7 linked regions of the Kluyveromyces lactis genome follow. The protein of the gene in region 1 binds, or shares a complex with, the protein of each later gene. Links are inferred from orthologs where the notes say so. Each region holds a gene or a part of one and is shown in the gene's direction. Other genes may lie near its edges.

The links.
Region 2: SPC34 (region 1) and DAD1 share a complex: the UniProt entries of both Saccharomyces cerevisiae proteins name them as parts of the DASH complex. The link is inferred for Kluyveromyces lactis from reciprocal best matches to the Saccharomyces cerevisiae genes SPC34 and DAD1.
Region 3: the proteins of SPC34 (region 1) and DAD2 are in contact, whole or in part, in a cryo-EM structure (PDB 8Q84), measured with the Saccharomyces cerevisiae proteins. The link is inferred for Kluyveromyces lactis from reciprocal best matches to the Saccharomyces cerevisiae genes SPC34 and DAD2. Residues at the interface, in NP_012963.3 of Saccharomyces cerevisiae: Tyr23, Phe24, Lys25, Pro26, Pro27, Gly28, Ile29, Phe30, Asn32, Ala33, Arg50, Leu51, Ile52, Lys53, Asp54, Cys55, His57, Ala60, Tyr61, Phe64, Val66, Pro68, Gln71, Ser72, Val73, Val82, Val86, Ile87, Asp90, Lys94; in NP_013009.1 of Saccharomyces cerevisiae: Asp57, Ile60, Asn61, Ile63, Ser64, Gln65, Ala66, Ser67, Leu68, Gly69, Leu70, Leu71, Gln72, Tyr73, Glu75, Tyr78, Glu79, Trp83, Leu117, Val118, Pro119, Leu120, Pro121, Thr123, Met124, Val125, Arg126, Ile127, Val129, Gly131.
Region 4: SPC34 (region 1) and DAD4 share a complex: the UniProt entries of both Saccharomyces cerevisiae proteins name them as parts of the DASH complex. The link is inferred for Kluyveromyces lactis from reciprocal best matches to the Saccharomyces cerevisiae genes SPC34 and DAD4.
Region 5: SPC34 (region 1) and ASK1 share a complex: the UniProt entries of both Saccharomyces cerevisiae proteins name them as parts of the DASH complex. The link is inferred for Kluyveromyces lactis from reciprocal best matches to the Saccharomyces cerevisiae genes SPC34 and ASK1.
Region 6: the proteins of SPC34 (region 1) and DAM1 are in contact, whole or in part, in a cryo-EM structure (PDB 8Q84), measured with the Saccharomyces cerevisiae proteins. The link is inferred for Kluyveromyces lactis from reciprocal best matches to the Saccharomyces cerevisiae genes SPC34 and DAM1. Residues at the interface, in NP_012963.3 of Saccharomyces cerevisiae: Gly2, Ser4, Leu5, Cys8, Ile9, Asp11, Ile12, Ala15, Ser18, Met19, Leu22, Tyr23, Phe24, Lys25, Pro27, Gly28, Ile29, Phe30, His31, Ile34, Arg45, Ile48, Leu51, Ile52; in NP_011628.4 of Saccharomyces cerevisiae: Gln60, Leu64, Ile67, Arg68, Leu70, Ser71, Ile74, Ile75, Leu77, Asp78, Phe81, Thr82, Leu84, Asn85, His88, Glu89, Ala92, Asp93, Glu96, Gly99, Ser100, Leu102, Tyr103, Met106, Trp110.
Region 7: the proteins of SPC34 (region 1) and SPC19 are in contact, whole or in part, in a cryo-EM structure (PDB 8Q84), measured with the Saccharomyces cerevisiae proteins. The link is inferred for Kluyveromyces lactis from reciprocal best matches to the Saccharomyces cerevisiae genes SPC34 and SPC19. Residues at the interface, in NP_012963.3 of Saccharomyces cerevisiae: Ile52, Glu59, Leu63, Phe64, Lys70, Gln71, Val73, Arg75, Gly81, Val82, Phe83, Tyr115, Lys118, Asp119, Ser158, Thr160, Phe161, Leu181, Phe201, Glu203, Thr207, Ile210, Met214, Trp221, Leu223, Phe226, Leu233, Asn236, Tyr237, Leu240; in NP_010487.3 of Saccharomyces cerevisiae: Arg45, Arg48, Leu49, Val50, Pro51, Tyr53, Asp54, Val55, Arg57, Ser58, Lys59, Asp61, Leu62, Glu65, Val66, Leu69, Val70, Leu73, Lys76, Leu77, Lys79, Ser80, Met81, Arg83, Met84, Gln85, Glu87, Leu88, Leu91, Gln92.

Annotation. Positions count from the first base shown.
Region 1 is NC_006042.1:1,997,661-2,002,017, reverse strand, and holds SPC34 (Spc34p), read left to right. Parts: upstream 1-2,386; coding exon 2,387-3,214; downstream 3,215-4,357. Other genes in the region: KAE1 (tRNA N6-adenosine threonylcarbamoyltransferase), read left to right, coding at 884-2,041; KLLA0_F21406g (WD repeat MDV1/CAF4 family protein), read left to right, coding at 3,641-4,357. UniProt on the Saccharomyces cerevisiae protein: Component of the DASH complex that connects microtubules with kinetochores and couples microtubule depolymerisation to chromosome movement; it is involved in retrieving kinetochores to the spindle poles before their re-orientation on the spindle in early mitosis and allows microtubule depolymerization to pull chromosomes apart and resist detachment during anaphase.
Region 2 is NC_006038.1:607,988-611,831, forward strand, and holds DAD1 (Dad1p), read left to right. Parts: upstream 1-2,387; coding exon 2,388-2,675; downstream 2,676-3,844. Other genes in the region: inositol polyphosphate kinase KCS1, read left to right, coding at 1-1,391. UniProt on the Saccharomyces cerevisiae protein: Component of the DASH complex that connects microtubules with kinetochores and couples microtubule depolymerisation to chromosome movement; it is involved in retrieving kinetochores to the spindle poles before their re-orientation on the spindle in early mitosis and allows microtubule depolymerization to pull chromosomes apart and resist detachment during anaphase.
Region 3 is NC_006037.1:699,684-703,714, forward strand, and holds DAD2 (Dad2p), read left to right. Parts: upstream 1-2,362; coding exon 2,363-2,761; downstream 2,762-4,031. Other genes in the region: SGO1 (Sgo1p), read right to left, coding at 42-1,826; NUP133 (Nup133p), read right to left, coding at 2,850-4,031. UniProt on the Saccharomyces cerevisiae protein: Component of the DASH complex that connects microtubules with kinetochores and couples microtubule depolymerisation to chromosome movement; it is involved in retrieving kinetochores to the spindle poles before their re-orientation on the spindle in early mitosis and allows microtubule depolymerization to pull chromosomes apart and resist detachment during anaphase.
Region 4 is NC_006039.1:1,465,080-1,468,949, reverse strand, and holds DAD4 (Dad4p), read left to right. Parts: upstream 1-2,522; coding exon 2,523-2,741; downstream 2,742-3,870. Other genes in the region: oxysterol-binding protein related protein OSH3, read right to left, coding at 1-1,967; snoRNP complex protein NOP10, read right to left, coding at 2,963-3,136. UniProt on the Saccharomyces cerevisiae protein: Component of the DASH complex that connects microtubules with kinetochores and couples microtubule depolymerisation to chromosome movement; it is involved in retrieving kinetochores to the spindle poles before their re-orientation on the spindle in early mitosis and allows microtubule depolymerization to pull chromosomes apart and resist detachment during anaphase.
Region 5 is NC_006039.1:1,071,688-1,075,913, forward strand, and holds ASK1 (Ask1p), read left to right. Parts: upstream 1-1,775; coding exon 1,776-2,432; downstream 2,433-4,226. Other genes in the region: SFK1 (Sfk1p), read right to left, coding at 1-881; MDM35 (Mdm35p), read left to right, coding at 2,683-2,937; DNA damage-responsive RNA polymerase-degradation factor DEF1, read left to right, coding at 3,861-4,226. UniProt on the Saccharomyces cerevisiae protein: Component of the DASH complex that connects microtubules with kinetochores and couples microtubule depolymerisation to chromosome movement; it is involved in retrieving kinetochores to the spindle poles before their re-orientation on the spindle in early mitosis and allows microtubule depolymerization to pull chromosomes apart and resist detachment during anaphase.
Region 6 is NC_006038.1:998,390-1,002,937, reverse strand, and holds DAM1 (Dam1p), read left to right. Parts: upstream 1-2,106; coding exon 2,107-3,048; downstream 3,049-4,548. Other genes in the region: MRPS5 (mitochondrial 37S ribosomal protein uS5m), read left to right, coding at 1-130; cytochrome oxidase assembly protein SHY1, read left to right, coding at 511-1,623; high-affinity Cu transporter CTR1, read left to right, coding at 3,687-4,548. UniProt on the Saccharomyces cerevisiae protein: Component of the DASH complex that connects microtubules with kinetochores and couples microtubule depolymerisation to chromosome movement; it is involved in retrieving kinetochores to the spindle poles before their re-orientation on the spindle in early mitosis and allows microtubule depolymerization to pull chromosomes apart and resist detachment during anaphase.
Region 7 is NC_006040.1:1,583,918-1,588,180, forward strand, and holds SPC19 (Spc19p), read left to right. Parts: upstream 1-2,475; coding exon 2,476-2,937; downstream 2,938-4,263. Other genes in the region: lipoyl(octanoyl) transferase LIP2, read left to right, coding at 1-655; KLLA0_D18799g (uncharacterized protein), read right to left, coding at 727-2,130; RAV2 (Rav2p), read right to left, coding at 2,972-4,039. UniProt on the Saccharomyces cerevisiae protein: Component of the DASH complex that connects microtubules with kinetochores and couples microtubule depolymerisation to chromosome movement; it is involved in retrieving kinetochores to the spindle poles before their re-orientation on the spindle in early mitosis and allows microtubule depolymerization to pull chromosomes apart and resist detachment during anaphase.

The DNA of each region.
Region 1 (4,357 bases):
TGCATGTTCAGCTCCTTCCTCTAGATTGAGGCTTCATACCTCACAGTGGTGTACGTATTTTAGAAGGTCTTTTATCAAACATTGCTGAAAGTTTATACTATCCCCCAATTAATTGCCCAATGGCAATTAATTCATATATTGAAGAAGTATTTATAACATTCTGTTGTTAATGATAAATATAAAGAGGCTAATGAGATAAAATTAGCTCAGGGAGTTTCACTGTCGTAGTAAAAAGATTTCCGCTGGTTGCAATTAATAAAAGGTATTTTTGCGTTGATTCAAAGGGTGAAATCCATTAATAAATTATCCAAAGATGCACATTGTTAGCACGTGGTTTCGGCTTCCGTACATAAATTAAAGGGAATTCAAGCAACTCAACGAATTAAATAGCTCGCGTGGCGTAATGGCAACGCGTCTGACTTCTAATCAGAAGATTGTGGGTTCGACCCCCACCGTGAGTGCTTTATTTCAAAATCCGCGATAGTTTAATGGTTAGAATTCGCGCTTGTCGCGTGCGAGATCGGGGTTCAATTCCCCGTCGCGGAGATCTTTTTTCATATCGAATCTGAAAATACGTTCTGTACACAATCTTTTCCCCTCAACGAGTGATTGACCAGCTATGACTATGTCTTGCAGTTTGATACACTTTTTCTGTTGTTGCTCCTCTTACTATGCTATCTTTTACTCACAAAATTGGTGTATATGATTTTTTGAAAAATTGGAATCTGAGAAAACCGAAAAGTTGAACTGAGATGAGTTGACTATCTTGATCTGTAATACAACTCCCTGAATATATAGTGTGTCTCACCAGTTCAACGTGTGTTCGTGCGATATTCATTGAAGGTATACCTATTATCGTCAAAAATTCTTTTTTCAGTAAGAGATGGTGAATTTAAACGGCATTCCACCAAGAGGTAAAAGGAACTATTATTTGGCAATTGGTCTTGAAGGATCTGCCAACAAGTTAGGCGTTGGTATTATCAAGCACCCAGTGCTAGAAAAACATGAAGATAGTGACCTTTCGTATGAGTGTGATGTTGAAATATTGGCTAATATTAGAGATACATATGTGACACCGCCAGGAGAAGGGTTTTTACCAAGAGATACTGCAAGACATCATAGGAATTGGGTGGTACGAATCATTAGAAAGGCATTAACGGAGGCCAAGATCGATGATCCCACAAAGATCGATGTGATATGTTTCACTAGAGGACCTGGAATGGGTGCTCCTTTGCATTGTGTGGTTATAGCTGCAAGGACTTTGTCATTGATGTGGGACATACCATTAGTTGGGGTTAACCACTGTGTGGGGCATATCGAGATGGGGAGAGAGATCACAGGAGCTAAAAATCCTGTCGTGCTCTATGTTAGTGGAGGTAACACTCAAGTTATTGCTTACTCCGAGAAAAGATATCGAATCTTTGGTGAAACGTTGGACATCGCCATTGGGAATTGTTTAGACAGATTTGCAAGAACTTTGAAGATACCGAATGCACCATCGCCTGGTTACAACATTGAACAACTGGCTAAACAGTGTAAGAATAAAGAAAAATTAGTGGTATTACCATACACTGTTAAGGGAATGGATCTGTCAATGAGTGGTATTTTGCAATATATTGACACTTTAGCGAAAGACCTATTCAAAAAGAACTTGAAGAATAAATTATTATTTGATTCAAGAACAGGAGAACAGCTTGTGACTGTAGAAGACCTATGTTACTCTTTACAGGAAAATTTATTTGCCATGCTTGTGGAGATTACCGAACGTGCAATGGCCCATGTAAACTCAAACCAAGTGCTAATAGTGGGTGGTGTTGGATGCAACGTTAGGCTTCAAGAGATGATGGCCCAAATGTGTAAAGACAGGTCCAATGGACAAGTACACGCAACTGATGACAGATTCTGTATTGATAATGGTGTGATGATTGCCCAGGCAGGCCTATTAGAGTACAGAACAGGCCACTTTGTTAAGGATCTTTCTGAAACCATTGTCACGCAGAAGTTTAGAACCGATGAGGTTTATATCGCATGGAGAGAATAATAATAGCCAATTCTGATTTTCTTGTTTATTTATCATCATATATAGAATAAAGTAAGCAATAGTTCTCGCTTAGCTTACCCCGATGTAAAGGCCGCATGAGCCTTAAAAGTCTTCTGTCAACCTTTTCCATTAACATAATGCCAACTCTTTTCACGTAAAGATTTCGTAAACACCGAAAACAAAAAAACTAAAATGTAAACATAATCGAGTTAAAAGATAAATGAATCATTTGGAGTATTTCAAGAAATTACATAGTATTGGATGAAATATTGTATTCCATAGCAGTTTCCTGAAAGAGGGTGGTGCCTAATCTGTACGTGTAGTGTTTTTTAACAACATCAAAGGATGTCTGGATCATTAGATTACTGCCTGGATCAGATATCAAAATCCGCGGAGTCAATATCGACCTTATATTTCAAACCGCCAGGCATCTTTAGAAATGCGATTGTACCAGGCAACAGCAAAGTGTACTCAGATCTTATAGTAAAGCTTATAAGAGATGGCGATTCAATTGAAGAAATGTCATTATACAGTACAGATAACGATGGAAATATGAAGCGTAAGGATGGGAAAGTAGGGATATACGATCATCTCTTGGAGAGGGAAGCAACTTTGAAACGGAACAGAGCACTATGTTTACCAGATCCAAGACCTATTACCTACATACCGAAGGGGTTTTATCTCAGTCAAAACGATCATGTCATCCGAAAGAAACAGAAACCTGCAAGAGATTTTATCTTCGAAGGAAGTAACAGCGATGAGCTGGGAATCTACGACGTGCTATTGAAAAAATTCAGCAAGGACGAACAAATCAAGCAATTTCTTCATGCATTGCGGAATGGAAGTGTGATAACTGGCGAGGATGTATCAAGAAGGAAAACTCTTTTCGTAGAAGATTTCCCAATCTCGATTATATTATCTGTGTTCCGGGAAATTATAGATCAATGGCCTCTCACTGAATACAAGGAGAAATTTGAAAAACTAATGCAAATATACAATGGATTACAAGCTGATATTAATGAACTTCAGAAGAAAGTAGAGATCCAGGAGTTAGACTTCCAACACGAAGCGTTACCGGAAAAAACGTCAATATCATCTCTCATCGATAAAGAGGAGAAAGAAATACAGAAGCTCGAGAAACAGTTGGACCTTTTGGAAGGGAGAAATAAGTGAAATCTAGCAGCGGTACTAAAAATCCATTTGATACATTAATAAGTTATATCCAAGAAAAACCGATATGCTTGCCGAAATGAAGTGGAAAGATATATTTCACACTTCGGGAATTAATCTCGCACTGGAATGGAAATATTCATGTAAGTTTCAGTTCAGTATATATCATTTTTGTATTATTAAGGTTCTAATTTTATGATAACGAAATATATCGTAGTTCCATTTCTACGGCATCTTGCTCTTCTACAGAGAATACGGTTTTCGTTCTTTCATATGATTTTATTGCTGCAATGAAAGTTCTAATTTCAGAGTACAAAAAAGTAGATACATGGAAACAAAGAGTTGTTAGTTCCTATTACAACTTCAAATCTTAAAGAAACATATGTTGCGAGCAAAAGCCTCGATAAGAGTGTTAGTGGTGCCAGAACTATGAGTTCTAATACGGGAGACCAGTTTGCCAATCTGGGAAAGGCACTGTCTACCACGGCGTCTGTTCTATTCTCGTCGCAGCCGATGGAAGACACAATTCTTTCATACAGTAGTCCATATAAGAAATTGCTTCATGAGACAATTACTAATGCAGGTGGGGGATCATCACTAGTTAAAGTACGCCACGACGTGAAATTATCTAAAGGCAAGAATACAGGTTTCCAAGATATATATTCCAATAGCAAAGAGTTCTTTAAAAACTCTTATAGTGATCCAAAAACAACATTCAAAGTTTTAAGTTACTTGAGTGATGATCTACTTGAAGACGCCCCACGAGACACTATACCTCAGAACAAGAACATGATAACAGAAAATGGCGAGAAAAGATCTGCAAAGTCAAAAAAGCAAGAACCGACGTTATTTCAAGGATTTGAAGCATCTTTACCTGTTATTAATGAAACGATAGAACTACAGCAAAAACTTATAATGAATAGCGATATGAAACCCTTAACAGACTCTGAGTCCATCCCAGTTTACGCTGAAGAAGAAGAACAAGAGGAAGAGTTTAGTTTGCCAGACCATTTAAAAGCTGATAAACTTCTGCATTCTTACTCCGCATCCTTCTTGAAGGATGCCTCGAGGTCAATCACCGATAACCTGGATTTACTTGAAATCCAGAAAAATCTAGCAGCTAGCGAAATAAGAGAGCTAGATATC
Region 2 (3,844 bases), on another chromosome or scaffold:
AGCATATTATACCCAATTCACTGTATCAACAATATTCTTCATCCCGGTCGACTTCAAACTCGCCTTCTAGTGCTCCAATAGATTCATTTTTGTCGTCTCGTTCTTTTGACGGAGGAGAGGTTTTTAAGGGTAATTCCAATCAAGGATCTGGATCAACTAGTGTCAACACAAAATTACAAGAATTGGTGGTCAAAGAAGCTTTCATGAGACGGAAACCCTCGGGTGTATGTTATAGTCCTCGTTCTTCACGTACTAGAACAGGATCTTCCTCGTCTCTAAAGGAATGTAAACACTCGAGATCTTCTTCCTCTTCTTCTAATAAGAAATCAAGAGGCCTGGGCAACGAACAATATTTACGGCGTAATTCTATGAAGCGAGCAGCCGTATCGACAAATAACGTATTAGATGTGAATCCTAGCAACTTGGAAGATGACGATATTATGTTTAAGTTGGACGATGATGTTCATGAATCAGATGTCAAATCTCCCGAACAACAACAAGGTGCCTTCAACCATGAATCTGTTTCCGTGGAAGAGACTTCGCATACTATTGTCTCTAAATTCATCTTACTCGAAGACTTAACTCGAAAGCTTAAGTGCCCATCAGTTCTTGATTTGAAAATGGGCACCAGGCAGTATGGAGTTGATGCCAAGAGATCCAAACAGCTGTCACAGCGTGAAAAATGTAAAAAGACTACTTCGAGGAAGCTTGGAGTGAGATTATGTGGGCTAAAGATTTGGGATAAGAAGCATAATTATTACATTACAAGGGATAAGTATTACGGTAGAAAGGTAAGAGTCGGTTGGCAATTTTCTAGAGTGTTAGCAAGATTCTTATACGATGGCGAGTCGAAAAGAAGTATCGTTAAGCAAATTCCTATCTTGATTCAACAATTAGATACTTTATACAGTGAAATCGCGAAGCTGAAATCATACAGATTGTACGGATCATCTTTGCTCTTATTTTACGATGGCGACAACCCTCAGAACAAACGATCTCGGGTGAAGGTAAACATTATAGATTTCGCTAGGTGTGTCACTGATCGTGATATAGAAAAGTCACTAGATCGTTTTAAGATTGCACCTCATTTCCCAAACAGAGAGGATCAGGGATTCCTTCGAGGTATAAAATCCTTGAAGTTCTATCTAGTTCATATTTGGAATTTTTTAACTAACGACGCCGCTATGGTCCAACATGGAGAGCAGCTAACGCAGTTTTTGGAAGATAATATAGACAAATTCAATTCCAACTGGGACTGGCTAGATGAATACGATAAAGAAGATGACGCCGAGGCCTGCAATGCGGAAAGTCCTTTGCGCGTAAAATGGCGGAAATATGAATTGATCTTTGACATTGAGCCCAGATACGCTGATGACGAAGTCAGCGACTAAGGCCAATCATTTGAATAAGAACCAAATTTTTTTACTCTCAATTACAACTACATCCAAACGACATATTCTTGTTAGTGCAATACAGCTTCAGCATAATTTATATATAAGCTTGTACGTAACTACCGTGTAAGTATAATTCGGTTTTTGCTTTGCAGCTAAGGCTAAAAGTCATAGGTTTTAGCATTGTTACCTGGTGGAAAGTTGCGGGCTACACGAGTCGATTGTTGTGGTTTGTATTTGTTTGAACAACGATAGGGTTATATCGATATAATTTTTGAAGATCGGATAACAGAACTTAAATTGTTCAAGACTGATAAGATTTATTCTCCCAGCTTAGAGAGACTAGCCAAGAGTTGAAGATGCCTTGGCCAGCCAAATATACTGGTTGATTTTTACTTGCCCTTTTACGCTAAAGAAACTTTCAAGAACTATGTAATATGGTGAAAGAGTAAGCATTCAATAACTTTTTCCATTTTATATCCGAGAGAACATCGGTAGGGTAAGCTGAATATGATGTGAAAGGGCAGTCAGTCGTATTATATAGCTTGGCGTGAGATGAAGATCGTTTGCTAATCCAGGTTACCAGTATTTCGCTTAAAATTAGTGGTTTCTTACATTTGCTATGTCTTTCAAACGTCTGTATATGTGCCAATGATAATCCTTGCCGGTAACATCTTGATTTCATATTTGAAGGTAAATTGGCAGTGAAGATTCAAATACCGCAGATCGCGATATTCGCCTATTTTAATGTCTAATTGAGCTGCTAAATGTTCCAATTACCTAAGCTTTGGAGCCAGTTGGTTCTCAGCGATACACCAGGTTTCTGTCATCAACGACTTAGTATCTTTATGAGAAGCGGACAGTTTTATTAAAACATTTAGATCATGGAAATACACGAAAAAGGTAAACTGATATGCATTGTATATCGAGGGTCATCGGAAAATAACAGGAGTCCCGATTTGCATACACTGAGGGCCCAACATATAGCAAGCAGCAATGACAGAAGAGGTTCAACAGCTATCGACAGGCGACAAATATTTCATCGAGCAAAGAAGTCTGATATTACAAGAGATCAACGAAAGCATGGATGCCATTTTGAATCAATTAAATGGGTTAAACATTACCCTTGAAAATAGTATAGCAGTCGGGAAGGAATTTGAAAACGTATCACAGATATGGAAACTGTTCTATAATGGGCTTGAGTCTGAAGAACAGAATATGGAGACGGTAGGAGTAGCAGATTCTGAACATATTACGGAGGATGTCAATCCTGAAGGGAAATAGAGAATTGGTTTTATATCAAGAAAGGCACAAATTGAGGAACTTGATAAGCTTTGCAGATAAAACTTACCAGCCAATGAACTACAGCAACGTGTCGCATCATAAGTATTTTTCATCAGTTGTTTGTTCTAGAAGTGTGCTTCTATAGACGGTATATATATGTAGACCGTTTGGTACAGGATAAAAAGAAAGTTAAGAACACGCCACATATTTTTCATCAGTTTCTGCTTAAATTTCGTGCGTCTTCTACTAATCTCTTGATTTGCATCCGAAGCTATACTTGTATTGAAGGGAAATGGGGCAATATGTTTAACACCCTCGAGGAAAACAAGTGCATACTGACAGAAGGGATTGTGGCATTTAGCGTTACTTTTTGCTGGGCAACAACAAGAAGTTGGTTCCTTGGCCCAGTTGGTTAAGGCACCGTGCTAATAACGCGGGGATCAGCGGTTCGATCCCGCTAGGAACCATTCTTTTTTTCAAAAATTCCTCTCTTTCTTAAGTATACAATGTAACGCTGAACCTCTTAATAATACGGAATATCTTCCATCAGTCAGTCGAAGTGAGCAAATGGAATATTATCACCCACAATGGTAATGCTGGTCCCCCTGCCTACGTTATTATCCTATATTCTCTATCTTTAAGTCCAATGCAGCTTGACGCGACTTTTCTCTTTTGAGCAAAAAACAACTTTCTTCAATAGAAAGAGAATCTGCAATTTGATGTTTAAACAGATCAAGTTCTGGAGGAGTAAAACAGATGTTTGGTCTTTAAATAGGCCTTTGGTTCTATTATAGAATATATGATGGGTGCGGAATCACGATCGGTATTTGTGTGATGCAATTTCTGGGGTGGTAAGGACCAGTGCCACACTTGGGTTTGATTTTCCTCTCATCGAGTTTCGTGTGCGCATGTTCGTCTCTCACATCGAGTTATACTCTCATCTTCTATACATTAGAAGGATGCATCAGCAGTTTGATCTGCTGAAAGAGTTCATACACCCAATTATTGTTTAAAGGCCTGGTGTTGGGTAGTATTTCTAACGGATTTTAGAAATGCTATGACAACAATACCTTTAGAATTATATTGTGTGGATATTTACTTCTTGTTAAACAGACTGTGACATATCTCAATGAGAGGGGATTATTCTCGTTTTTGGAGTTATTCTGATG
Region 3 (4,031 bases), on another chromosome or scaffold:
GAATGTTGGTATGGGACGGGTTGAATGCTGAGGTAGTTCTATCATATGCTTATTTCGTCATTATGAATTCTTTTACGTTTTTTGTTCATGTCTTCTTTTGCTCTGACACGATGTGTCCTGGATACATGTTTCAGAGAAATTCCATCTATAATTTCAAATGCTGCTAGATCTGAAGTAGCCTGTTTAGTTCTTGTCGGTTTCACGTTGCTATTTTCATTTTCATCAGATACATTTGGATCGGACGAGTTGTTTTCAATAGCTTGTTGCTTTGTGGGCAATGTGTTGAACTTGACATCTTTAAGCACTCGCGATTTAGTGTGGCTTATTGCTTTTACGGCAGTAGATGTTTTAACTTTTCTGTTGATAGCGTTAGCTGATAATTCTTTCAGAGCGATTTTAGGTTTAACGTTTTGTGCAAGGTGAATCTCATGTAATGGTAAAGCCGGTGGTTCCTTTCTGTTCTCTTCTTCCACTGTTGCAATGACGACATTTGTGTCAGGTACGCCAGCAGGCACTAAGAGTTCTTCCTGATCATCGTCATCAGACGGTATTCCCTGTTGTTGGTTATTTCTACGTTTCACTTGTAAATCATGAATATCGGTGACAGTTGTGGCATCCACCAATTTTTCAGTGGGTCTACGCATCTTAGCACGTAGTGATGGGAGTTTATAGTTGACAGCTTTGCCTCTAGTCCTTCTTTCTCGTTTTTCATCATCTTTATCGTAATCTGTGTGGGGCATAATATCATCTTGGCCACCTTTCAGTTTCGTCCTAGGATGTTTCATGGAATGTTTAATTTTCGATTGTGATGGGATTGTGCACTGGACGATATTCATTGAGTCATCAGCCTCATTGTTGTTTGTCTCTTCTCTGTCGTTGTATACATCAATTTTCGATTTCGACGTTTCCAGTAGGATATGTGAATGCTCGTGAGTTGAAGTTTCCTCTGGAATGGAATATTCAATGACTGATGTAGTGAAATTGTAAGAATCATCTTCGGCAAGTGCAGTTTCCATTTCTGTAGTATTATTTTTATTGGTATTGCTACATTCAGTGCCTGTGTTAGTAACAGATGGAAGGACCGGTACCAAAGGTATCGTAGAGACATTCTCTTTTCCCTCGTCTTCACGCTCTTCTTTTGTATGCTTGTTCTCCTGAGACTCTTCCTCAGGTACTGAGGTGGCTGCAGTACTAGGCGGCGGTTCATCCTCAGTTATCGGCAGTTGATTCAGTTCTAGTTCCGGGTCCTCATCGTTAAACTCGAAATCTGCAGGAATGAACAACGACTCTCTCCGTGAACTCTTACGCCTCCTCTTTCTCAGAGGTCGTACCTCATCATCATTCAGCTCGAGACTATTCCCGCTATTTTCATGGTTATCTTCCGCAATTGGATCCTCAAACCCAACTGGTTTCGTTGTGGTATTTGCACCAGTAAACTCCACTTTCTTCGCAGATCTCGGGCTTATACCATTCGAGCCTCTCAAAATCGGTTTAAGAGGGTTATCATGAATACCTGATTCTAAACCCTGGCTCTCCCGTACTGTGGTCAACAATTGGTTCATTTGCAAGAATTTTTCTACAATTCCGTCCTCTAACGTCTGGAAAACAGTATTGAGCTTCTCACGATAGCGCAATTCACCCATAGAAAGCCGCGACCGTAAGGAAACATTCTCTTGCACCAATTCACTCACTTTAGTCTCCATATCAGTGATTTTCATCATAAGACTGGAATTATATTTCGCAAGCTGACTGTTCTGCTGTAAATAAATTCCCTTTTGTTGCTCAAGCATAGCTTGAAATTCATCGTACTGCGAAGAAGCGCTCATGTTGCACTCTCACAAAACTTAGTAACACTATCCGCCGTCAATTCGGGTCCCTATAGACTTAGGAATCGCTCTTCTTTCAGTCAATGAACAGGTTATTTAAACGCTGAATGAGATCTAAAGCTTTGAATGTTTTCATTGTTTACGTTTTGTTCTACGATGTAAACACAAAAAAACAAGATTACCCGGATCATATTTAGTACTACATTTAATTCAAATGAGGTAAGTTGGACATGTAATGGGCAATTTGATGTTATCCAACCCTTCGTTCATTCTAAATAGCGGTGTTAATGCTTAGCGTAGCTTGTATAGATCAATCTCCCCTGATACAAGTCGGTTTTCTCGAGTTTTCTTCCTTTATTTCAATATCGGAATAATATGAAATCACGACTTTGAACTAATCTCTACAATGTGAATTCTTTCAAAGACTAGAAGAACCAAGAATTATCAGCTAAGATAGACACTTCTCGGAGCGAGTTGGATGATATATTCTAGCTGAAGAGTAAGAGGTTTGGGTCACCTGAAAAAAAGTTGTCAGTATGGCATTTGAAACCGAGATCGAGACTAAGAGAAGAGAATTGAATTATTTGAAGCATGTTTCTGCATTGACACAGAAATTAAAGGCTCAATTGGACGAGCTGAGCGTTCAGGTAGCGCAGATGAATAGCAATGCTGTGACTGTTAAAGACGTAATGGCTAATTGGGACTCGGTTCTTCGGTCTATCTCTCAGGCTTCGATATCTTTACTTCAGTATACAGAAAACGACTATGAGACTGGGAAATGGGCCAGTAAAGAGGAACATAGAAACCAACAGGGCGCTGAAGATGAAAGTGCTGCGTCAGAAAGTTCAGAAGATAACCAGCAGCGGCAACAGGATCAATTACCTCCGCTTCCGGAAACTTTGGTACGGGTGAAAGTTGCAGATGACGTTGAATAACGTTTTTATTGAATATATACATATGGTGTATAAACAGGTTTTATACTATGTACAATTAATTGGTGTGGCACCTTCTTCTATTATTGAATTAGAAAGATGTGGGACTTGTCTCGATTGTGTTAGTTGCGTAATTGATGACACATTGGTTACCGGTTTCCTCGTTGATTTCTCCAATGATGGATTGTAACATCGTAACGTCCAAATTCGAATTAGCGAAAAGAGCAACCTCTCGTTTGACGTCGCTAGCTAATTTATTAAGATCGGTTAGTCCATGGTACATGCCATCCAGGTATGAGTCAGTGATCAATTTCTCATTGGCCAAGTTGTCGATGATTGGAAGTTCGATACTTTGATGGTAGAACTGCTGCTTGAAAAAGACCCTTAAAGTTTGTCTAACCGCATTTTCATCGGATAAGAGACACCTTCTCCAGATCTGGTACTCGCAGTACTTTTTTACTTCAGTGGGTAACGTGTGATCAATGGCAAGGATACTCAATGCAAATCCATAAGAAGTATCTTGATTTAATAGTGTGAATAATTCTATCATATGCGGCACTGAGAGAGATTCTCTCCTCTTCACAGCATCGCTCAAATATTTGAACAAAGTTCGATAGGTGGTAAAGTCTTTGAATAGTGGGTTGAGAGTTGATTCTTGTAGTTCTTGGGATAGAAGAATTTGCCCATCGATGAGATCTAATTCGGTTTGAATTTCGTTTAGCTTTTCAAGATCTTGAACTTCCGCGGCAAGAGCTGTTAATTTGGCAATACTCAATTGTGCCTGTCTTTGTTTCAAATCTTGACCCAGCGATTGAGTTCCAGTAGAAATACTCAACAAAGTTGTAGTTGCTTCGTCGTATTTATGGCAATATATGTTTCCAATCCATTTAACTTTGCCATACTCGGGACATTCTCCTAAGAACTGGTCCAAATATTCTGAATGGGTTTCACCAAACGATTCGTAAAGATCATCCCATAGCCCTTCCTTGATATAGTAGGAAAATAAGGATTTTGCAAAGTCGTATCCGTATTTCTGGAAGAATTCATCGTATAGAGAGAATGCGGTAATTTTTGGCAGAGATTGCAAAGTTTCAACTAAGCCTTCAAAGTCTTGGTAAAAATCTGTGATTAGAATTGAATCCTGAGACCTGTTAACATCCCTAAGGACCCTATTCCAAAGTAAATGATTTTCTTCGAAAAACTGTTTATAACTAGAATCAGTAATGGCATTTGCATCAATCCACATGGTTATTTGCCTGACCATATAAAATAG
Region 4 (3,870 bases), on another chromosome or scaffold:
AGCACTTGTAAGATAGATACGGGTTCGTTTAAACTGATCGGCATTGAAATGCTGGATAGATCCTTACCGACATTTTTCCGTAAGAATCCTAATAAACTTGGTGGGGTTGATACTGGTATTGCGATATCGTTTCTGCGCTTTATAGTTTTGTTGATTGGTAATGGTGATAGATCTTGAGATCTCGATGTTGCTGTTTCTATAGTCTTTCTATCTGTTGATGTCATTAATTCATTACTAGTTGGTGTTGTTGTTGTTGTTGTTGTCATTTCATCTTCTTCCTCCTCCTCTTCTTCTTCAGCTTCTTCTTCCTCCTCTCCTTCGCCTTCCTCCTCTTCATCCTCGTCATTATAAGAGCTGTATATTGGTCTGATATCGGTTTCAAAGGCCACATCGTCATTTAACATCGTGATGATAGGTTCTTCATTTGCATCGAAATATTCGTCATCTGAAAAGATGGAAGCAGTTGGCGATCTGGGAACCCATTTAGTAGCTAACATCTTACCATCAATATCAAGTTGCTTGGCAATTTTCTCCAAATCAGCTAGCTTTCTATATAAGTCATGATGTTGAGGCTCGTTGGGATTATTAGATAAGATCGAAGTATCATGGCCTGAGGTAGCTTGTTCTACAAATGAACCGTTCCGTTGCCTAGAAAAGGAGTTCATGAATGAAGAAACAGACGAGGACCGTGACACATTCCTCTGTTGCTTTGAAGATGTCGGAGGGCCCTGAATGGGAGATACTATTGCGTTAGGTGTGTAGTTAGAATAGGATAAAGATTGATACTTGCATTCTTCTATTCTTTTCCTTAGGGATGTTAAATTGCGGAAAAATGCTGTGGTATCATTATCAGGAGGAATGACAACGTTATGCGATTCGTGATCTTGCGAAGTAGTTGGGGCGTCTTGTTTGAAACATGACTCGATCATTGAAATCCAAAGTTCCCAATCTTTTTCGTCACGAGCTTTCATGACCCAGATCTCCATGCCTGAGTCAATGATAATAAGTTTAGTTTGCTTATTTGCACTTATTGATGAAAGTGGGACAACAATCTCACCACGACACACAGGAGATTTAGAGTTGAGATAATATGAGAGAATCCCAAATTTTATATCGAGTTTAAAGAACCGTTTGGTAAAACCTTGTAGCTTCTTTCTCTTCTTTTTTAGTAAATATCCTTGGAATCCTTTACTGTTTTTCAAATCGTGATCTGTCGCGGATGTAGAACTTGGACTCAGTGGTTTTATTGGCACTGGAGAATTAGTGTTTGGTCCGTTAGATGTACCCACGTTGGAAATTGTGCTTGGAGTAGTCTGGCCTGGAGATGGCGCAAATGGATTGGAATTCGATTTTGCTAATGAGGACAAAGATGGATCCTTGAATGACGTTTGGCTATAATTCAAAGGTCGCTTGCCATTCGTCCCATTGGCACCAAAGCTTTCCTCTTGGTTTGAAATGACGGATTCCTGATCGTCATCCAAACCTTCCATTGCCGATGCACTAGGGTTGATACTCACCGAAAATAAACATTTTTTCTTAGTCTGCTTCGAAGTAGTATTGTCTAAAATGAACGCGTAATAACAACTCTCACAAGTTGATTCGAACGATTCGGCAACGGTATCGTTGTTAGAAATGGTCCCATACCAGGTCACCTTTTCCAGACCGCTTTGTGCTAACCTTGTTTGCAACGGCACGTTTTTGTCCTTTTCGTGATCTGCCAAGGCAACGTTAGGCTTGGCATCGGTTGAAATTCGAATTAACGGATTAGTATTACTATTCGAAGAAGCTTTTACACTCCCATGGTTTGTTTCACTCAAATCAGTCGTGGATGATCCACCAAACCGTCTGTATATACCAAACCCTATCGATTTTTTCAAAGGTTTCAACCGAAACGAAACTATATCACCTTGAGAAACTTTCTGCCAACGCACAACAAATGATTTATTTTGAACGTCAATAGTATCCATGTTTGATGCCGAAAAAAATTTAATAGTTACAATTGAATCACTCTCGAAACTAAGTAGACGTTCCAATCTACCTTTATCGGTCGGTTATTCGCTGAAAAATCAATTCTGAATAAGAGAGATTAACCAGGGGAAAAGATCAACAAACACCTGATAGGCACGCAGTAAGAATGGTAATTATTCACAGGTGAAATTTAACTGACAATATCCGTTACCAGCAATTATCACCAAATTGATATATGATGCCCGCCAAAAGCTCGAAACGCACACTAGAAGTCTGTTATAGATGAAATTTGGATCCTTGTTTACTTCAAATTAAAGGTTTAGTTTATTATACTCAAGCTTTTTTTTAATTCATTTTCACTGAGAAGCTGCTTTGGGGCAGGTACTAATTTTCATCATTTAAAAAAAAAAAAAAAAAGGTTTATAATAGCATCCAACATGTATTCAAATGCAAAACATCGGTCAAAAATGTAAACCACAAGGAAAACACAGGCACTAGAGGCTACAAAACTGGTGTATAACTATCCGTCATCAGTTATATTTGTGATACATACCATGGAAAACCCGTATGAGAAAGTTCAAAGCAATATTCTGGCTAGAATCATTGGCAATGTCGAAAGGTTGAACCAGAGTGTAGTGATACTAAACCAAGAGCTTCGAAGGGTAAACACCAAGAATAAGAATTTGGAACTGATGTCACAAATGTGTGAGAACTATAGAGAATCTGTTGATTTCCAGTTGCAGGCAACTTCCAAGAAACAGGACCCATTGTAAGGTCTCACATATATTCTAACGAGAAGAATTTATTAAAAAAAAAAAGCAGTTACTTAAGTGATGTAGTATGTACGTATATACATACGCCTTTTTATAGTCGGTTTCAGGACCGTACTGATTCTAATTTACAGATAATAATGGATTAATTTTTTTTGTTCATGTTCAGTGAGTTTTAACCGGTGCAATTTTGTCTGCGGATTGTGTTCCAACTTGTAGGGACCTTAGTTTGGCAAAAGGTTGTATCTCTTCTTCAAAGTAACTCTTTGTCTGGAGTATTTGTCATCTGGAGAGAATCTAGCAGGGTGAGCAGACTTTGTAATTTCATTATCCTCAGTCATCTTCTTCAAAGTATAGATTCTCTTGCCTTGGGCATCCAAAGTGTACATCAAATGCATAGTGGGTAGTGGGTAGAGTGTGATAGATGCTTTTGGTTGGAAGTGAAAAGGAACTAGATATATGGATAACAAGACACTTTCTTTCAAGCGATGAGCTATACCGATCAGTTAGTTAATGCTATGTTGAAAAACTGATTATATCTCTTTGAAAATTTAGCAGATGCACTTGATGGAAAAGAAATATTCCAGTTCGTATCATGTGATCTGATGATATATTCTCTAACGTAAGTAGCGATATGTGTTTTGATTATCTTTTTCTAGTCACGTGTAAAACGAAGGAGGCTGGATCGGTTCCAATGATCGATTGATTGATAAACTTTTGTAATCGGGTGTTCACGTGACCTGTGTGTATTTTATTTGTATTTTATTTGTATTACCCGGCCACTCTCCTATAAAAAAGGGGTCTCATTTCCACACATAGTTAAGGACCCTGCTTACTATGAGTGTTTTTATGACAGGAACTGAAGCTGGAACTGGAACTGGAACTTTCAAAGGAAAAATGAAAAAAGACGAAAACGAAATTTGAAATTGAAATAGAAATAGGAATAGGAATAGGAATAGGAACAGGAACAGACATTGACTATTAAAGCTTTAATTTGATATAGACATAGGGCTTGTCACTGATAAGAATAATATATTTTGGTCCTGTGTTGAAAACAGCGGAAGGTTGTATATCGTGTTGAAAACGAAATTAACAGTAATATAGGAGTTTCGGTTCGTAAGTTCTACGAGAA
Region 5 (4,226 bases), on another chromosome or scaffold:
GTAATTGTGATTTGATGGAAATACTTGGACTGGGTATATCTTCCGCCAATATACCAGTCAACAGAGACAATAATGAAATATAATCCGAACCAAAATGCCAATAGCCATTCAAAACAGGCAGTCGTTGATCTATCTTCTAAGCATGCAAAACAAATAGCCCAAACGAAAGCAGCTATTACCCAAAATGCCTTTAGTAAGCCACTGATAGTATACTTGTTCCAAACATGGCCGTGCCATTCATTCCACCTTGTGTCTTTGCCGATATCTTCACTACTTGTAAGAGGATGGACGACAGCGTAGTGTCTGCCCATTGTCATATATTGTGCGACATGACAAATTACACTCAATCCGACAAATGCACAGAATATACCCACCATGGAACTGTGCACCCTAGGATACGTGTTTGTTGAGAAGATAGTGCACATAAGCAAAGCCAATTCACCTATACTTCCTAGTACGAATGAGGCCCATACTAGATTCCGTTCATGTTTGGTAAAAAATGGAGGCATGACATATTTCTTCTGAATTAAAGCTTCGATGTAGTTCGATTCCATTATAGAGCTATCGTTAGATTTTTCTAAGTCATCATGATAAGTATACGGTAACTTGAAAGGCCAATGACCAGATCTTTGAAAATACTCTAGAGCAACCATGATTACGTATCCTAGACCTTGCCATGCCGCACAAGAAATAAACAACGGTTTTAAATTGGTCGCACCAATATGGGATATATAAACCGGGAACTGGTCTGTATGCATGAACCAATAAATGGGATGACCTTGTCCTGCCCAACATGCCAACATCGCAATTAGCATCCCATACCATGGAATGAAAGCTATCCAGGGAAAGATAAACCAGTAGTTACCTGGACGTGGAAACATATTAGTATAGTCTTGCGGTTTACGTTTATACCTGTATCAAATCCAATCCTTATGAGAATGTCTACCAGTGATATTCTTTAAAGGAATGAGCTATGTTGACCTTGTCCCGTCAAATTCGGCTGGTATAATATACTCATTCTTTTCCTTATATATCTAAAACCCGACTTCCACGAATAAAAAACAATATAAACTATATTTGACATATTTATATATATATGCTTTTATATGGCATGGCTTGTGTATGGCACTGCAGTGATGCTGTCACTGATGCCTTAAATTACAACTTGCTATTCACTGAATGTAACTGTCAATCGGCTCGATGATACACTAGCTTGAGACACCCTGCGCGATTTCTGGGCGCTTTGTTGCGATATTTGCTCCAGTAAAAAAAAAAGGTTTTCTTTCGATGCTTTACTAATAGGTTTCGAGGCTTAAGAGCAAGGATGGATAACGTAATGGATGATATCTAATTTTCCACTCCGAGTAGGCAGAGCCTTCTAAGCCATTGATACCCTTGAATAGCAGACGTGACCGGTGTCCTTGAATCAGTACGTATTATGTAGTTTAGTTTATACTTTCAGCTTGGAAATATCGTAAGCCTCATCCGAATCAGCCTAGCGCTTCTTCGTTGATCTGCAGAAAGTTACCTTGGCATTGCAGAGACTTTCTTTATGTCATTTCAAATTTCTTCTTAGAGTTACAAGAGGAAATATGAATTTGACCAAAAAGTCAACAAACCGGTTTGACAGAAAGGATTTGGATTTGGAAGTGTAAATAGTGACGGTTACAGGTAACAGGACGCGGTGTCCGTTGTTATAAATATTACAGTAAACAAGGAAAAGGACGCAATTAGTCTGTGCCAATTAGCTAACACTAGGTTTCCTGTTTTACATCATGGATGCAGTGAATATTGAACAAATAGATCAAGAGATCACGTTAAATTTACAATCAATCGATTCAGACCTCTCGTACTGTTTCAACAAGATAACAAAGGATATAATACCGTACGTGACGCGATATGGACAGACTTGTGAAGATATCACGAATTCTAGTTCGTGGCTGAAAGAAATGTTTCAGCAGAGTGCTAATGTTCAGTTGGTGACGGATCAGGCTGTGGAATCTGCGGGTCAGGTTTTGGAGCCCCGGACTTCCTTATTTCCAGAGGTAGAAAACGAAACTGATGAGTTCCATACAGTCGATCAATACCCTGCTTTATCTCAAACCGGAGTAAGTTCCGCTGGTGCCCCCACCACGAAAACAGGAGGATCGGTAAAACAGGATCAATTTCAAGATCAGGATACCGATGAGTTGACTCAGGATAGTGCAATGGAAAAACAGAGGAAGAAGAGAAAAGTTTCGTTACAAATTCACCAACATTTCAATTCGTCGTCATCTTCTAATTCTTCAATGGAGAATGATATCTCTGCAAACAGTTCCCCAATAAAGACGATCCCCCCGGAAACAGAAACTGGGACAGAAACACATAACAAAATCCAGGGCGAATTGGCCAAGCCGGGAACCGTTATTCATTTTAACAGCAAACGCGATTGAAGCTCTGTCTTAGCCTTCCCCCACTCACTTCTATATCATAGTGTGTGAGGTATACATTGTTACTCAGGGTTCCAGATCCTATGACCTGAACGAACAATCACGTGATATAATACTTTCCTTTTTAGTTTCATGCTTCTATAGCTTCGTTTTCAATCGGATTTCTACATGGTGAATTTGACATTCTGATTATGTGCGATGCAGAGACTAAGTGAGTATTCATATACGATACAAGATACGCCACAAAACTACCATGGGTAACGTGATGAGTGCAAGTTTCGCTACAGAGTGTACACCTTTGAAGGGTAAGTACGATAAATGTTTTAACGACTGGTACAGCGAGAAATTTTTGAAAGGTGAGTCAATTGAAAACGAATGCCAAACCGAATGGTACGAATATATGGAATGTGTCCAAGCTAGCTTGGTGAAACAAGGCATAAAACCAGCTCTAGATGAAGCACGTAAGGAAGCACCATTCGAGAATGACGGAAAACCTGTAGAGCCTTGAATTGCGGACCAAAGAAACGCATACATACCTGCGCCATTCGCTATGATGAATCTAAGTATAAAATAAATTAAAATGGGTTTCATTTGAAACCTCTGTAAATAGAGAATACAATACAATACCTAGCGCGTATTTTTGACCACAGTAGGGTTAACATTACCAGGAGTTTCGACTGAAGTTGTACCACCGCTACGTGATTATACCTTAATCCTTTCTCCACCGTAAGTCAGGGCAACGTTCGTCCTTTGTGATATCTGCTGTGCAACTCTCTTAATTGGGGTAGCCTTCAGAGACACCTACATAATTCTGCATATAATAATTCAAACATATCACCTAAATAACTAAAGCACAAGAAGGTCCAGTATAATGACTGCTGTCATATTCTTGTAGAACTTCGTGCCAGCTCCATCTCACTGTTTCTATCTCCTCATTGCAGTACTAGAATAGAATATTCTGATTACCCTCCCTCCTTTTTTACCCTATTGCCACCAATAGAAAAATTGAAATAAGAACATTTTCGATAAAAGTAAAATTTGATTTCGAAAGATCTGGGAAAATAGGAAACAAATATTGTTAAGTTAGATAGCTTAATACTCCAGAGAAAGAGTTCAAGGATTGAAACGGCGTTTAAGAGTTCCATTTTTGTAACGATACCTATCTCGCGTGCTTTTCTTGTTGCGAGCAGATACTAAAATTGTACTTTTTTTGGAAAGAAATTATACTCAACATTTTCCAATAAAGCATTATAAAAAATTTGCATACTTGCTTAAACTTCTAAGATTAACAACAAGCAATCAGAACTACTTCAAGAGAACTACTACTACTCACGCAATCCAATTACAGATTATTACAATAACGATCGCCTTCCCTCTTTTGCTAGCAATAATTTAGGTTCGCACAGTTTTTATCAATAGAAATAATCCCGGATGTCACAATTTAAGAGAAACGCCAGTTCGAAGAAACTGGACTCTGAGACTAAATATAAGCTTGAGACGCTATCAGAATTGTTCCCAGATTGGACAAATGATGATTTAATTGATTTAGTCCGTGAATATGATGATCTAGAAACCATAGTTGATAAGATAACTACTGGAGCAGTGACAAAATGGGACGAAGTGAAGAAACCATCTAAAAAGGAAAAGCCTGCATCGCATATAGAACACCAATCTCATAGTTCTCATCAACAGCTGCAACAACAAGCCGCATCACACCTGGACCCTGAAGATTCTCCTTCTCTAATAAATCAACATCATTCGCATCAAAGACAATCTAGATCCACCTCTAAGTTCAGT
Region 6 (4,548 bases), on another chromosome or scaffold:
TAGAAATATCATGAACATAGCCAAGGGTACTATAGACGCTATCACCAAGTCTCAAAAATCTATAGATGAAATTGCTCTAGGTAGAGGTAAGAAAATTGTGGATGTCAAGAAGGTATATTACTCTGCTTGATTTCAACCAACTCCATATTTAAATTACTTTCACTTTTTCTCCTATGAAGAAACTATCTGAACAACCTTCACATGATTCAATTACGACCTAGATGATCATTCTCATAAAACAATCAATACTCAGATCTACGTAACCTTGTACATATTAATATCCCCACAACGTCGGAGTTCCAAATTCTTCTTCACGTGACTTTTAGAATATTTCACACTTTTCTGATCTTTAAAAGATTGGAAAATGAAGATGATGAAAGCAGATGAGTAGTATATCTAATCGCGTATAAACATGATTAGAAAAGCTTTAACTTCTTTGCTGTTACTAATTGTTCAAACGCATTTCAATTCTTAGCGGAAGCTACTAGTATCACACAATTAGCAAAGCATATGTTTCGCTTCATTGTGGCTAGGCCATTCACTGTACCAAAGGTAAGGCCGGTAAGACGACTTTATAGCACGGTCAGGACATCGACTGTTGACTGGAAACCTATCAAAACAAAGAAGACACCTACTGAAGGATTTCAAAAGAAGGAATCACGATGGGGTAAGCGTATTTTTCTAGGACTGATGATTGCCATGCCCGTGATCTCGTTCTACTTAGGAACCTGGCAATTAAGAAGATTGAAATGGAAAACCAATCTAATTGCTTCCTGCGAAGACAAATTAACCTACGATCCTATTCCGTTACCTAAAACGTTTACACCGGATATGTGCGAAGACTGGGAATACCGCAAGTGTACTATGACCGGTAGATTCTTGCATGATGAAGAGATTTTTGTCGGCCCCCGTGTTAGAGGAGGGATCAAGGGGTACGTTTTATATACGCCTTTCATCAGAAAGGATACGGGAGAAAGAATTTTGATTGAACGTGGTTGGATCTCGGAGGAGAAAATCGTTCCATCATCTCGTAACTTGCAACATTTGTCTTTACCTCAAGGCGATAACGTGACAATTACAGTGTTAGTGCGTGCAGCTAAAGATTTGACATCAATGCAATGGAAGAAGGAAGACAGGGAGAGTAGATTGTGGCAAGTCTTGGATATTAAGGATATGACAGAGATGACACATACTTCTCCTATTCATTACCAAGCTCTTTACGATCTGAAAGATCACCATTGGGATGAAGAATCAAAATCTGAGGGTATCGATAACAAAAACCAATCATCTTGGAAATTCTGGTCTAAAAAGAAAACCGAAACAGAACCACAACAAGAAGAATCCGAGAAACCACACGTCAACACGAAGAAAGTAAATACAGCAGATTCGGAGACAGGATTGGAATTTAACGAGTTCCAATTCGTTAAAGCGGGAGTGCCTATTGGTAAAGCACCAAAGATTGATTTGAAGAATAATCATTTACAATATTTAATTACTTGGTATGGGTTATCTCTGCTTTCATCTATCTTCCTTATCATTGCACTAAGACGTGGTCGTGGTTCCGCTATGTCACAGGATGAAATAAAGAGGCAAAAGCTAAAACATGCCAAGAAGTTCATGTGATAAAGAAACACATATTGATATTCTCAGGAATTTCTATCTCGATCCCATCATTTCCTTCAATTTTCTAGTATTCGAGATACTCAAATTCCAATAAATTATATTCAAGCAGTTAATTACTAAACACATAGTAGTATCAACCTTGTTTGTACCTGTAAATACTATTATAGCTATTTTGAATGATTTTCATTCCTGTTGATGAATACTAACTAACTATCGTTGAAATACTTGTACATCGAAAATCGAAAACGTAAATAAAGTAAAGCAAAACAAAAACACGAACAGTAAGGTGTCTCCAAGCAGACAGACGGAATGCGATAGTGTCTCTTTGGGCAACCTGGTATCTAATTTGACATCTCATAGACAGTCTGAGGTAAATTCATTACTTGTTTTTTTTTTTTTTGACCTTTCATCTTAAATTCTCAGGGCTACTTGGCACTATTCCAAACTCAACATAAAACTGCTGGATTCATCTGCTCATAAGATATGTCTCAAAGGCCAAATACTCCACAGCGGGACAGGCCAACTGAATATAGACTATCTTTGTCATCTAATGCAAGCTCAAGAAGATCTAGTTTAGGCAACAACGGTCGAGATCAGCATGCGTCAAATCAAACAATGATTGAAAAATACGTGCTCCCACAATTACAGGAACTTTCGGACTCGATGGTAACACTCGATGGTAACATGACGCACATGAATTTCATTCATGAATCGATAGCGGATTTAAATGAGGCTCTAAGCGCTTTATTATACGGATTGATGTGTAACTCTTGGTGTGTTGATTTCCCGAACATATCTCATGATACTCCGCATGAATTGAAATTAATCCAAAGACTAGAAGAGTTGAAACAAGAAAGACAAGCACTACAGGCGAAACTCAAGCCAAAGGAACTTACCAAAGGAAGCATATTACCTCTTTCAAGACAACCTTTATCACGAGGTTCTCAGATGTTGTATCGTGATGAAAATGTGCCAGGTTCTACTGCAAGCTCGAATGTTAACATTGACATTAACGATGACGAAGATAACACAGCCGCTTCGTTTGTATCCAACCCAACTACTTTCAAACCTCAAATGATATCTTCAGTAGGAGCTTCAACTGACTTTATGGGAAAACAAACGGTAGGCTCCGCGTCATCGAAACTCAGAAGAAGATCCATTCTACATCAAATACGAAACAACGCTGCAATAGGCACTATACCTAATACACTAACAGGTATTACTCCTGGAGAAAGAAAAAGATCACTAGCAGTCAGTGCAAAAAGAATTCCTATCTTGGCAGGATCATCGACTACCGCTGGCTCTGCCTCTTCTGCTAATCGTGAATCTACAAATACAGAGCCCGCTCTACCGAATAGAGTTGTAAGAACAAGACAGAGAACCTATAATCCAAAAAACCTTGCAAGCAGGCCTCCTTTCAGGTAACGAGTTATTTGATACTTCTTACCAGAGCTTTTTTCTAGATACATATTCATACCGTGTGTATATCTACCAAACAATGTAATATTACAACGTCAGTTAACAAAATGAAGAAAAAAAAATTACTGAAGGTACTCAGTAAAGATTGAAGTGCTCTATGAGGCTGCTCTTACCGCTTATCAGTGATACATGAACGTTCTCGTTTCAAGTGAAGTCTCGTTCGATTTACTTTTATTCGAGTTGAGCTTATTGAGCAAATAAAGGCCGCCCTCTTCATTTCATTCTGCAAGGAATTCTGTGAAGAAAAATGACCGAAGTTACAGAGAACATAAATCAATGAAAGAGCTAACATAAAGAATGAGATGAGAAGATTTTGAGAAGGTATTGGTTGTACATTTTAAATATAAGAAAGTGGCATATAAGTGTTTAGCCATACATCTTGATCAGTTCCATTCTAGCTGCTGACGGTTACACACCAGAAACATTGATGTTTTTTTGTTGATTTTAACTCTTTGTTCATTCACGTATTGGGAAGCGATTGACGAAGAAAAGAATAACTGCACAGTTGGCTTGGGTTAATCAAAAGAGCCACAACCGACACTATCCAAAAACCCCATCGACAGATATCAATAAAGCCTTTCAACATGAATATGCACGCAGGTGATACTACCACCTCAGCCAGTGCCATGGCCATGAGTACTAGTACTTCCAGTTCTATGTCTGGAATGGACATGGATGGTGGTTCCGAAATGACTGGAATGAACTCTTATCTCACAAGAAAATATATGAACTATCCCGTTGTCTTTGAGAAACTCTATGCTTCTGATCGCGGTGAAGCATTTGGTATCTTCTTGCTTATCGTTGTTGCTGCCTTTGTATACAAATTCTTGTTATTTGTGAGCTGGTACCTAGAATTGAAATGGTTCAAGAAGGCAGGAGTCAATGAGGAAGCTGAGAACGATGAGGCTACAGGTAAGAACGTGTTATATACTATCGAAGATCTGGAATTACAAAGGCAATTCTTGCCAACTAGTTTCGGCAAATTCATGTTCAACGTTTTCGCCCCAGACTGGGTTGATTTCTTCCATGATTTTGTACGGTTATTGATCACTTTTTGTTCTACCATGATAATATATATGTTGATGCTTGTTGCTATGACATTCGTACTTGCATACGTGTTTGCTGTCATACTCGGGTTATCTCTGGCCGAAATCTTCTTTAACAGAATCAAGATCAACATGTTGAAGGCATGGGAATTGAAAAAGGAATGGGAAAGACGTTTCAAGCTTTGCCAATGTGGACCTGGCCCATCTGCCTCTACCGATGATACTAGGTCCTTTGCATCTAGCAAAGCCACTGCTGACGCCGGCTCTACTACACCTCTAAACACGTTTAAATCGTCCGAAAAAGTGCCAAAGAAAGTCGGATGCTGCTGCAATGGTGATGAAGATCCAGAGGAAGAAGCAGAAAGAAAAATTAGAGGCATTGCTACTCAAAGAGAACAGG
Region 7 (4,263 bases), on another chromosome or scaffold:
GAAGCCAAATCCAATTGTGCTTACATTTCAATTTGAACCCACTTATACTGGCGGAAAACGTGTTAAGAAACAAATTACGGATGAACAGATCGCCAGATATGAAGGCTTTATTCCATCAAAACAGAAATATAATAAAAAACCCAAATTTGTGCAGGCTGAAAGAGGTGGCCAAGTGACGTTTCATGGTCCAGGGCAAATAGTCGCATACATCATTCTCGATTTAAAGACATTTCAGAACTTGCCGGCCAAATGCTTAGTTTCAACTATTGATAACGCGGCCATGAACGCATTAAAAGTAGTTCCAAAATTCCAAGGATCAGATGAACCATTGAATTTAATTACCCAAAAAACCAATGATACCGGCGTTTGGGTCTCTAATCAAGAAAAAATTGCCAGTATTGGCATACATGTCAGAAGATCTGTCACCTCACATGGTATTTGTATTAACGTTGACCCAGACTTGTCTTATATGAACAGTTTTACCATGTGCGGGCTGTCAGAAAAAAAAGCCACTTCCATAAGAGAACAAGTCCCTGATAGTTCTACCTCTGTTAATGATGTAGCAGTTGCATTCGTGAATCAATTAGCTAAACTTTTGGGCATTACCACAGTAGAGAGAATTCAACTTGATGATTTACCCATTTACACTGATTAGACGCATCACCCGTAGTCTGCAAGAAATGCTTAGATTAATTTTTACTTTAAGAATGATATTTATGATTAGTTTTACTTTGTTGCATATTTAAACACAGCAGCCAAAGCCCCTGCCGAGATAGAACTTAATAAAAGCAAGTTGGTTGTAGTACTGGGTAATTTACTACCTGTTGATACAGCTGGTAATTGTGCAGTACCATCGTCTTTCGTCTTTACCGGTTTTGACTTTGCTTGTTGTAATTGGGTATTTTTAAATATTTCGACCTCAAGACGTGTCTGTAATTCATCAACTTCACTTTTTAGCTGTTTGATCTTAGTATTTTTCAAGTCATTATTTTCCTTTAGGGAGTCATTAAGCTTCTTATTTTCTTGTTTTAATGCCTGTATTTCTTCATTATGGATGGTGGTTAGTTCTGCCTGTTGATTCGCAAGCTTCTGTTTAACGCTTTTCTGAAGTTTGACTAGTTGTGAGTCCGCTTGCTCCATTTTCATCTTTGATAGATATTCAAGCTTTGTAATATAATTAACGATGAAATTGTCAATCGATTTCAACTTTTCATATTCCAACTTTTCAAGTGTTAGATCTGTCACTAAGGTCTTGATGATATTAATCAAATTCGGACTTGTTCCGATAGAATTGTTTATAAATATTCCACTCAATATTTCCGTTTCAGACCCCAATACAGCATCTTCGAGGTCAAGATTATTTACATCTCCGAACATGGCGGCTTCGAACGCAGCTTTTTGAGCAGTTGTTATCGTGACCATTGGGTCTGGAATCCCATTGTTTGCAGGTGTACTCCTGAAATCTCGTTTATTTGATACTAGTAGTTTATCGTTTTCGCCAATCAACGGTATCACTGAAATGTCCTCCACTAATGCACTTATTTTACGATGTTCAAGCTTTGTGTCTATATCCGTCCCTAAATCTATCACATCCCCCACTTTGATTTCAACATCAGTTTGACCGATCCTACTACCATTCACGAAAGTACCATTAGATGATTTCAGATCACGTATACATATTTTACCAGTTTTAGCATCACACGATAACGATGCATGGTTTCTTGAAAGCACTCTAGAATCAAAATTTCCATTATCAGCTTTCACCTGTGGATCAGCTTTGCCGGAAAGTCCTCCGTTACTTCCAGAATTTGAAGCTCCAATGACAGGTCGTCCCAATTTTAGTCCACTGGGCTTGAATGGAACTACTAAGAATTTAGTCTCAAATGTGTTGTTCAACGATTTTAGAACCAAAACATGTGTGTATTTGTTTCTGGCCTGTGTTCTCTCATCTTCAGCGGAAGTCAGTTTATTAAGAGCGTCATTACTTGAATTCAAACAGTTGTCATTCGAAGAACCGTTGCTGCTTGAGTTGGAACGAGCTCTTCTTCCTTTTGTTTTTGATGTGCTTGTGTTATCGTTACTCTGGTTTGCTGAAAGAGGATCCAATCGACTTCCTTGTTTCTCAGTCATATTCACTGCTTATAAGAACCCAATTAAACCATATGCAAAAAAAGGTAGTGCAAAGTGCAAGTTCTTATTCGGCTTCTGATTCACTTCAATGGAGAGACTGCCTCGTAGCAAATACTGCTGAAGCTGCTTTACCACTTCTGTGAAGATAATACTAAAATCATGAAACTGAGAAAAGAATGGACTTAATTTCAATCACAATTATTTTAATTCACCACATAGAAAAGAGGTAAACAAACATTACGCAACATACACATGAAAACACAACACTTCACATAGATCGGCAGGATTGTAATTGGATAACGCACTGTGATAATTTGGCATTGTTATTTGAGCTGATTTGACACAATGGAAGAGGTACTTTCGGAGGGTGTAGATGCTTTAGCAGCATGTGTCGATGACATGGCGAAATGTTTAACCGTATCTAAGGTCACTACAGATAGAAGCACTAAACTTGCTATAAATATGCTACAAACTAAGAGGGTATTCCAGTTGGTATCAGAATATGATGTGCAGAGGGCCAGACTTGATTTGATGGAGGATATAGAACCATTGTTACAAAAACTATATAGTAAACTGGAAAAAGCTCTAACCAAATTGGAAAGGGAGCGGGCCACTCTATCACAAACATTCGAATTGAATAAACTACGATTCAACAATCAAGAAAGTAACCCCATCATAGATAATGTGAAATCGGATCCAGTTGTAATAGTATCCTCGACACATGAAGAATTGGAACGTCTCAAAGACTTAAAGAATCGTAAAGAAGAACTGATACAAAGAATACAGGAATTGCATGAAGAGAGATAAATAAGCATACGCCGACTCTCTATCTATCGCATTGTTAACTTAAATTTTGAATATTTACAAAGTGATTGCTGATTTTGTTTTCAAGCCCGTTCAACTTTGCACTGACACTAATCAATGTAGGATCGCTGGTGGTAATTGAAACTTTCTCGCATTCAGTGACAACTCGCCCGTTAAATGTCACACACCTAGCCAATAGATCGCTTGCTTGCGGAAGAGTGATTCTTTCAGTTGCTGAAAAACTGGATATCAAATTGTTTATCATAGATGTTTGTTCAACTTGCAAGCCTTCTTCCTTAAGGATCTCTGCGATTTTTCCATTTCTGTCTTGCTTCAGCCTGTCTCTGACTTTATCACTGAATGATAACCCAGTTTTCGAATCGATCTCACTCCAGGGTTTTTTAATGACTTTTGTCAAATTCCTAATGTCCAAGCAAATCTCGTTTTTGAATAGCACTAATTCCATATTGACCAAATGATGTGCTGATTCACAAATGTCATGAGATTCAGAGAAGTTGTCGTTTAAGAAGCTGTTGTTATTATGCGGAAAGACCAATTCTCGTGGAGGATTTTGTAATAATGTAATAGATTGTGTAAGTAACTCCAATATTTTCCCAATTTTATTGTGAAAAGTATGAATATCATCAAGTTTCATATCGTGTAATTCGGAAAGTTGCTGTAATTCGTCAAATAAGGACAATACGGATGATAAATTTGTAATTATGGCATTTATTTGAACTAAGGGAAATTGTTTATCAAGGTCCATCTTTAGAACTATTGGTTTACCCCTGCTAAAGTCTGGAAGCTTAATGATAGCCTGAAAATCCACTATAAATCCGGCCTGTCTAGTGATTGTCCCTTTAATCGATGTGCTGTCTGGCGCGGCACCTGATGTGTTAACGGAGACACTATTCCCATTGGTAAGAGGCATTCGAAATTTCTCAGGACTAGATAGTTGGTTTATGCATTTCTCAACATGGTCCATAACGTTAGGTAGCTCAGGCTTTATGATTTCTTTAATCAACCATGTCTGTTGTAACAAAGAGCTCTCCTCATATGTAGGAGCATTTTTATATGCCCCATCATTATATAATTCCGTAGTCATCTCGGATTTATGCAATTGAGAATTAATGTAGCAAAGCTCCCTTAGCGTGTAGATAGCAAGAGCCTTGCTAAGATGGGCGTTTTCCTTTGTCAACCTTTTTACTATTCTTTTGCCTTTTTCGTATGATGATTCTTCTGAATATTTCAAATTTAAACCTTTTCTTGAAGTTGATGCGACTCACCCACATATACTTTAACTAGAGATAAAGGAAGATCATTGAAAAT